2 linked regions of the Caenorhabditis elegans genome follow. The protein of the gene in region 1 interacts with the protein of each later gene in a pairwise test. Each region holds a gene or a part of one and is shown in the gene's direction. Other genes may lie near its edges.

What was found.
Region 2: the proteins of rsp-6 (region 1) and rnp-5 interact in a two-hybrid assay, tested with the Caenorhabditis elegans proteins (one large-scale study listed by BioGRID).

The regions. Positions count from the first base shown.
Region 1 is NC_003282.8:7,789,331-7,793,593, reverse strand, and holds rsp-6 (putative splicing factor, arginine/serine-rich 6), read left to right. Parts: upstream 1-2,364; 5' UTR 2,365-2,365; coding exon 2,366-2,419; intron 2,420-2,472; coding exon 2,473-2,603; intron 2,604-2,649; coding exon 2,650-2,757; exon of another isoform or gene 2,758-3,196; coding exon 3,197-3,349; intron 3,350-3,396; coding exon 3,397-3,490; 3' UTR 3,491-3,747; downstream 3,748-4,263. Other genes in the region: Nucleoside-triphosphatase ntp-1, read left to right, coding at 118-425, 472-861, 910-1,170; C33H5.13 (CYSTM domain-containing protein), read left to right, coding at 1,402-1,440, 1,485-1,603, 1,660-1,780; imp-3 (IntraMembrane Protease (IMPAS) family), read left to right, coding at 4,105-4,254. UniProt on the Caenorhabditis elegans protein: Plays a functionally redundant role in shifting germ cell sexual differentiation in hermaprodites. Required for the development of somatic gonad structures and for progression from larval stage to adulthood.
Region 2 is NC_003281.10:851,941-855,829, reverse strand, and holds rnp-5 (RRM domain-containing protein), read left to right. Parts: upstream 1-1,920; 5' UTR 1,921-1,921; coding exon 1,922-2,004; intron 2,005-2,051; coding exon 2,052-2,693; intron 2,694-2,745; coding exon 2,746-2,890; 3' UTR 2,891-3,029; downstream 3,030-3,889. Other genes in the region: tag-51 (uncharacterized protein), read right to left, coding at 420-1,046, 1,097-1,400, 1,447-1,591; moma-1 (MICOS complex subunit MIC27), read left to right, coding at 3,434-3,700.

The DNA.
Region 1 (4,263 bases):
CTGAAAAAAATGATAATTGAAATATAATAATTTAGTTTTTTTTTCCTGATTGAAATTTTAAGAATAAAACATATTTTCGAAATTTTAAAACATTATTTATATATTTTTGTGTTTCAGGCAGATTTGATAAAGAGAATGATTCAAAAGTTGGAATGATTGATATGGGCGGTGCAAGCGTTCAAATAGCATTTGAAATTGCAAATGAAAAGGAATCGTACAACGGCGGAAATGTGTATGAGATCAATTTAGGATCGATTGAAACCAATGAGGACTACAAGTATAAGATTTATTCTACCACATTCCTTGGTTATGGAGCAAATGAAGGCCTGAAAAAGTATGAAAATTCGCTTGTTAAATCTGGAAATTCAAATGATTCGTGCTCTCCCAGAGGTCTTAACAGGTTAATTGGAGAGTTCACAGTTAATGTAAGTTTAGAAACTACTATTTTTTCAAATTTATTCAAATTTACAGGGTACCGGAGAATGGGACGTTTGTCTTGCACAAGTATCATCTTTAATCGGTGATAAAGCTCAACCTTCTTGTCCAAACCCAACATGTTTCCTACGTAACGTGATTGCTCCATCAGTTAACCTATCAACTGTTCAATTGTATGGCTTCTCAGAATACTGGTATACGACAAGCAATTTCGGATCTGGTGGCGAATATCATTATCAAAAATTTACGGACGAAGTTCGAAAATACTGCCAAAAAGATTGGAATGATATTCAAGATGGATTCAAAAGAAATGAATTTCCCAACGCTGACATTGAACGACTTGGAACAAACTGTTTCAAAGCTGCTTGGGTGACCAGTGTACTTCATGACGGTTTTAATGTGGATAAAACCAAGCATTTGTTTCAGGTATGAATTTTTAAAGACACATCTTACATTCAAGATAAATATTTTCAGAGTGTTCTGAAAATAGCCGGTGAAGAAATGCAATGGGCTCTAGGAGCAATGCTTTATCACTCAAAGGATCTCAAATTCAACCTACTAGAACAACTTGAAGTTGCGCAATCTACCCAACAAATATCAAATTTCTTCTCATTTTTTGTCATTCTTATCATTGTACTGGCAGTTGCTTTATATCGCCAACTTCAATCTGAATCTACGTACAAAAAATATAATTTTCTGCGAACCGATTCTAAACCGGATTTTCTAAATGTGTAGAGCATGATTTAACTTATAACAATTATAATTTATCATTATTTTCATGTCAAATGCAATAAAAAGGTGTGACTGGTCTTTTACTTTATATTCAACCCGATTAAAATGATAACTAAGTTTCGTCACTTCACTTCTAGATGAATCAGCGAAAGGCAAATAAGGAAAAGGAGTATTTTATAAACTCGTCGTCTTTGAATCGTCATTCTCTTATCACTATATTTTCAGTATTTGACAATGAGCGGCGCACCACCACCACCGCCACCTTACAATCAAGTGAGTTCGATCTTTGAAAAAAACTAAACCGAAAATGATTCAAGGCTTATAACGCATATCCACAACCTCCACAAGGTGTCTACACAGTACAACCCGGTGTTCCCATCGGACAAGGCGTTCAACCAGCATATGCAGTATATTATCAACAGCCTCAAACTGTCATGTGAGTTCTATTCGATATTTCGCGAAAAATTAATAATATTGACTTATTTCTTTCAGAGTTGACGACTGCCATCACCATCATCATCATCGTGAACGGGAGCACGGGGGAGGAGGAGGCGAAATGTGTTGCTTAGCTGGTTTAATGGCTTGTCTATGTTTTTTGTGTTTGAGCAAATAATTTTAATTTGATAATCTGGTTCATAAATTTGCAATTGATATATAAAAATCAATTGAAACTTTGACTGGTTTTGCTATTTCTACTTAGAAATAAATTCAGCACAATTCTACTTTCACATTTGTATGTATATTTTCAGAAGATAGTTATCATTTCGGTTTTTTTATAAAACATATTTTAGTGGAAACATGCAACAAGGCATGCTTTAAAAAATTAAGTGTAAATGTGATGCATTCGAGTTTACTTTTTATTGCACAATTTCTGTATTAATACATGTATCCGTTATACAGTGCAACAAATTCGGCTTATTTATAAAATGCATTTATCAAAAAGATTAATTGCAACTGAAATTTTCGTTCGAATTCGCGCCGTTATCTCACCCCGACATTAGGAAATCTGCACAGCTGAAACAAGTGTTACCGTACTACACGCATCGCGAGCAGCTGCGTCGCGTTTATTGAAATCATTTCGCGCGCGTTGCTCTCGAGCTATCTCCGTTTCACACTTATTTTTGTTTCTCAATAATTATTTTTTGAATATTCAAACTTCGTTCTTTTGCAACTTCATAAATTAATTTGATTTTTCAGTATGGACGCCAAGGTGTACGTCGGCGGTCTGCCGAGTGATGCAACATCACAAGAAGTGAGTTCAATCTTGAGCCATTAACAGTAATTATGTAAATATACATTTTTCAGCTCGAAGAGATTTTTGATCGATTTGGAAGGATCCGTAAGGTTTGGGTAGCTCGTCGCCCTCCTGGATTTGCGTTCGTGGAATACGACGACGTTCGTGACGCTGAAGATGCTGTCCGCGCTCTTGACGGATCGTAAGTTGTTTGCTTTGGATATTCGTTTAATGCTTCAAAATTATAGAAGAATCTGTGGTGTCCGTGCTCGTGTTGAACTTTCAACTGGACAAAGACGTGGCGGTGGCGGTCGTGGTGGAGGTTTCGGCGGCCGAGGTGGTGGCGGAAGAGACAGGTTAGTTGAAAATAATTTGATAGTTAAAGGAAAAGAGAGCTGTATTAAAAATTTTATTCGGTAAAACCGTGGACCAAATTTTTAATTTTAGCGGACTCCGCTCGTCCGCGTCCCCATCTGCCATCCCAAACATCACTATCTTCCACTCCTCTCCGTCTTCTGTCTTCACGACACATTCTTCTCTTCCACATCGCTACGCGCCCTTTACTTCTCCCAAAATCATCGCACCAGAATTGTTTTTGACTCTTTTCATCAGTTAATTCTCCGCAGTAGTTCCTGAATCGAGCTTCTGACAAAATCGTCTCATCATGCCTTCGTCGGCTGAATCTTCCCATTCAGTAAGAAAGTTACATCTACCTTTCTTTATGCTGCCATCTGCAGGAAAGATGTATTCGACAAATATGCAATATTCGGAATGTTTTAACATTGTTTATTTCAGATCGCCATACCGAGGAGACCGTGGACGTTCCCGTTCACGCTCTCGTGATCGTGGACGTGATCGCAGCCGCGACAGAAGCCGTGATCGCAGTCGTGACCGAAGCAGAGATCGCAGTCGTGAACGCAGTCGCGAAAGAGAACGTACTCGTTCAAGGTAAGAGTTTTGGATATAGTTATTTAAATTTAAATGAGAAATTTCAGATCTCGATCTCCTCAAGAACGTGATCGTTCTCACTCGAAGAGTCGCTCCCGCTCTCGAAGCCGTTCTCGCAGCCGTTCTGCTTCTCCGCACTAAATTGTGGAAGATCCAAGACCATACAGTATCTTCTCCACAACATCAATTTGCAACCCTAATTCCTCCGAAGAATCTCGAATCAATGATTTAAAAAAGTTTTCACTAAATTTAATTTCTTTGTTGTTTAACCGAATTTTACCATTATTACCTTTCACTGTTCTGTCTTTTTTTATTTTGTTCCTCTTTTTGTAACCTAAAATCGTGAACTTTCATCCATTTTATAAACTGTTGTCGGAAAATAAAAGTAATATTTCGGTAATTTGTGAACGGGGAAATCCAGGGAGACCTTATTTTGTGCGACTTTTTGCTCTGTGAGAGCGTTTTCGAATGTGTAAACAACTGCTTGGAGAACTAGAGAGCAGCACGTGTTTGTGGTGCTCTTTAAAAATGTTGGTCACCGGCCAGCAGTAGAAGATTGATTTTCCCACACATTCTTTATTTCTCTTTATGTGTCGTCCCACCGGCAGCAACGCACGTTTCTTTTTTGTTTCGTATGGCAAAGGATAAACAGGTCTTTATATAGTACGGTTCTACTTGATTTCTCTTCGTCTCTTGCCATTTTTGTTTTCGTATCGTCTCACAGTTAGCACGTGCTATTCCCAGAAAGAAAAAGTATGTGTACTGATTCAAAAAAAGCTCAGGATTCGCCACCAAAAATGCGAGACGACGTGGCAAAGATTGCCGCATCGGCGAGCATTTTAATTCTTTCATGGATTGTACTTTATCACTCCTGTCGAAGGGCATCTACAATTTACTTTTTCGAGGTTAGTTTT
Region 2 (3,889 bases), on another chromosome or scaffold:
CTTTGGTCTGCTAAATATTTAGGATACCTAACTTTGGTGTGTTAAATATATAGCATACCTAATTTTGGTCTGCTAAATATTTAGCATACCCAACTTTGGTCTGCTAAACATATAGCATACCTAACTGTGGTCTGCTAAATATTTATCATACCTAACTTTGGCCTGCTAAATATTTAGCATACCCAACTTTGGTCTACTAAATATTTAGCATACCTAACTTTGGTCTGCTAAATATTTATCATACCTAACTTTGGTCTAAATGTTTAGCTGACCAAAGCAGACAGACTGTCTCGATTTATTGAAGGAGAAAACGAAAAGAGAGGTAAATTTGCTGTTTATTGAGCGAAAAATTTGGATCTGCCAAGCATTCGTTTTGGGCCTGCTAAATATGAAACTCTGGAATCCAGCGGAAAACTGACAAGTCTTCATGCTGATCACACTGGTTGCGAATTTTACACGCAAGTTCCACAGCTGTCACACATCCAGCTCCAATATCATCTGACTTGGATTCCTCTTCTAATCGCTGAGCAGTCACCAAGAATCCTTGTGCATTTCCATTACTCCTATCGTACTTGGAAATCATTTTCCAAAATTGAAAAATTCGTTTTCCACGTGGATTTGTCGCTTGTGGAGTAAAAATTGAATAGAATTCTTCCATTTCTTCCTGGGAGCTGGACCAGTTGAATGCAATAGCCACATTGAGTGCTTCGTTTAGAAAATAAAAACCGTCTCCTTTGACGTGAAGAGCGCGCATTTGAAGAGTATTCGCATGGGCGAGTTGTACAATTTGTTCATTTTGAAGTGGAAATGTCCAGTTTTCTAGAACCGTCTGAAGTGCGAAGCTGCTAGCTTCTGGTGCTTGAATAAACGAATCTCGCTCTTGAAATATATTCTTAATGTGCTCCGTCAGAAGGTCATGCCGTTTTTTTGCACTATATCGAAAATTTCGCAGGTGTCGATGATTTGAGAGAAGATTTTCGAGTCCTTCGCGGTATCCAATGAGGAACAGGTGAAAACAACCAAGGCGCTCTTGATTCACAGTTTTTCTGAAAGAAATTTCCATTGAAAAGATAAAATTTTAAAAAAAATCACTCACTGGACGACTTCATTTGCGAATTTCCTCTGTCCTACAGTGGCGAGCGATGTGCTGGCATACTGAGCAAGATTCAGATGTCTTGTAACTTCTGATAAATTGTTCAATACTGATGGAAGATTTCCGGCTTGTCCCACATCTCTCGAAGCCGCAATTGCTGCGACACGAAGCGGCCCATCCGTCTGGCTCAACTCAAATCCTTGATGAAGAAGTACTCGAGCGTACTTCTCGACGATTCGAGAACAATATCCACGTTTTCCAGAAAGTGGAGTGATGAATTCGTCAAGAAGCCTAAACCATCTTGGTTCTGCAAAAGAATTTAGTGCTAAAATACTTTTTTGGGAAAAAATTACCTTTTGTTTCAAATGCTTCCATCCATCGAAACTGAATTTCACGCTGATCAGCGTTATTATCGAAATTTTGGAATTCTGCAGAGTCGATATATTTGATTTCTGGGAGCTCTTCTTCTTCTAAAAGTTCAGATTCTGCAGAGTCCATTTTGAAATTGAAAAAAAAAACGAAAGTGTTTTGTTTTGCAACGACACTCCGATATTCCACCGCGCGCGTTGTTTACCGTAAATCATTCACCCGCGTCTCTTCGAAAAATGATTCGATATTTTCAATTCTATAGTTTTTCTATAGGTTTTTTCTTGTTTTTCAATTAAAAATTTATTTGAAAATCCGTAATTCTTGTTTTTGGTTAATTATTTACTCAAAAAAGTAAGCGCTTTAGCCAACATTCTGTCTCTTCTTCTGCTCGAACACCACGCGGTGAAAATTTTCTTACTTAGTTGATGTCTATTCGAGTATATGAAATAATTTTTCAGTATGGTTGAGAAAGAAGAAACCAAAAAGAGGGCTCGCTCGTCTTCAAGCAGCTCGTCCAGTAGCTCTGGATCGTCATCTTCTGGGTATGCTTTACAATTTTCATACAATAGCTTAATAATCGATATTTCAGAAGTAGTTCATCAGGATCTCGCTCCTCCAGCTCATCGTCCAGTGGCCGTTCTCGTTCTCGCTCACCACGTCGTCGTGATACCCGCCCACCAGCTCGTGGAGGACGCTCTCGTTCTCCAATCCGTCGTGGTTCACCGCCAAGAGGAGCACGCGCGGATCGCGATCGCCCAATGCGACCATCACCATCACCACCACGTCGCCGTCGTCCATCCCCATCGCCACCACGTCGTGATCGTCGTGACAGAAGCGGGAGCCGTCAGAGGAGACGCGCTTCTCCGAGGAGAAGCCCAGCAGCAAGATCAGCCAGTCCGGCCAAGCGTGTAGTGATCAAAAATTTGAGCAGAAATGTTCTGAAAACGCACCTCGAGGAGATTTTCTCGATCTACGGAGCCATCAAGAATGTCGATCTTCCACCAGATCGCTTCCATAACCATGTTCATCGTGGATATGGATACGTTGAATATGACAATTTGGAAGACGCCGAAAAGTCGATCAAGCACATGGATGGAGGACAAATCGATGGAATGGCTGTTCACGTCGAAATGACTATCGGACGACAATCTGTCCCATTCCAGCGTAGAAGTTCTCCATTTAGAAGACGCTCGCCGCCACCAAGAGACAGAATGTCACCAATGAGAAGAGGGTAAGTAATCAAGGAAAAGTAGTATATTTTGATAATTTTCATCAAATTCCAGAGGCCGCAGTCCACCACCACATCGCAGACGTTCTCCAATGGGCGGCCGTGGCTCAGGAGCCAACAATATGCCACTTGGAGGGCCCAACAGATTCCGCCGTGCCAGCCGCTCTCGTTCTCCAGCCGGCAGAAGATCGCGTTCTTAAACTTCCATTACTGACGTTCCATTTTAAAACCCCATTCTAAACTGTCCAAATTCTGAACATCCTTTGTTTATTATTCTTCTGTTTTGTTATGCAAAAGATCTCCCCAATTTTCGTTTTTTTAATAAATTATTTTGGGTGTTTTAAGGGTAATTTGGATTGGTTAAAGACATGGTTAATTGCCTGTTAATTATCTATTTTAATTTTAAAACCGTCCTCAGAGGGGTTTAAATGTTAGAAAATATTTAAAAAAAAAACAAGAAAGCCTGGCGCGAAATATATAGTAGCGCAGGCGTCGGTGTCGATTTATGAAAAAGTGGTAATTAAATACAAAGAAAATCAATTTTAAATAATTGTTTAAAGGCGCATCGTGAATAAACACAAACTCCGTAAATCGACACAGAGCCTGCGCTACGAGATATTTTGCGCCACAAATGTAGGAATACTTATTTCTTCATGGTTTTTTAATAATTATAATAAGCTAATCAATTTTAAAATATTTATTCTTGTTTTATTATTTTATTGTTTTACCGCTTGATTTTCCAGATGACACAAGACAAGCCGATTGTGGAGACAATTTCAAACGCCGGTGAACAAGTGACAAATGTTTTTGGACAATTCTGGCAACTTGTCACCTCGAAAAACACGACGAATAATGGAGATTCAAAACCTATTAAGATTGAGCAACTTCCGATTTATGCTGAAGATAATGCTCCACTGAAGCAGAAATTCCTTCCAGAAGAGCCACTTCCTCTTCAAAGAGAATTCGCGACTATTCGTATCGCATGTGAGCAGGAGTATGATCGTGTTGCTGTGAGTTTTACGCGATTTTATGTGGAGAAAAAATTATATTTCGTTTTTAATTGGTTTTTTTTTAAAAGAAGAGTTTGGATTATTTTATTTAGCTAATTTTTTGTATTTAAGTAATTATTTGATATCTGTAGTTTTTTCAAGTGAAAACCGAATGTGTTTCACAAAAGAAAAAAATACATTGAAAATATC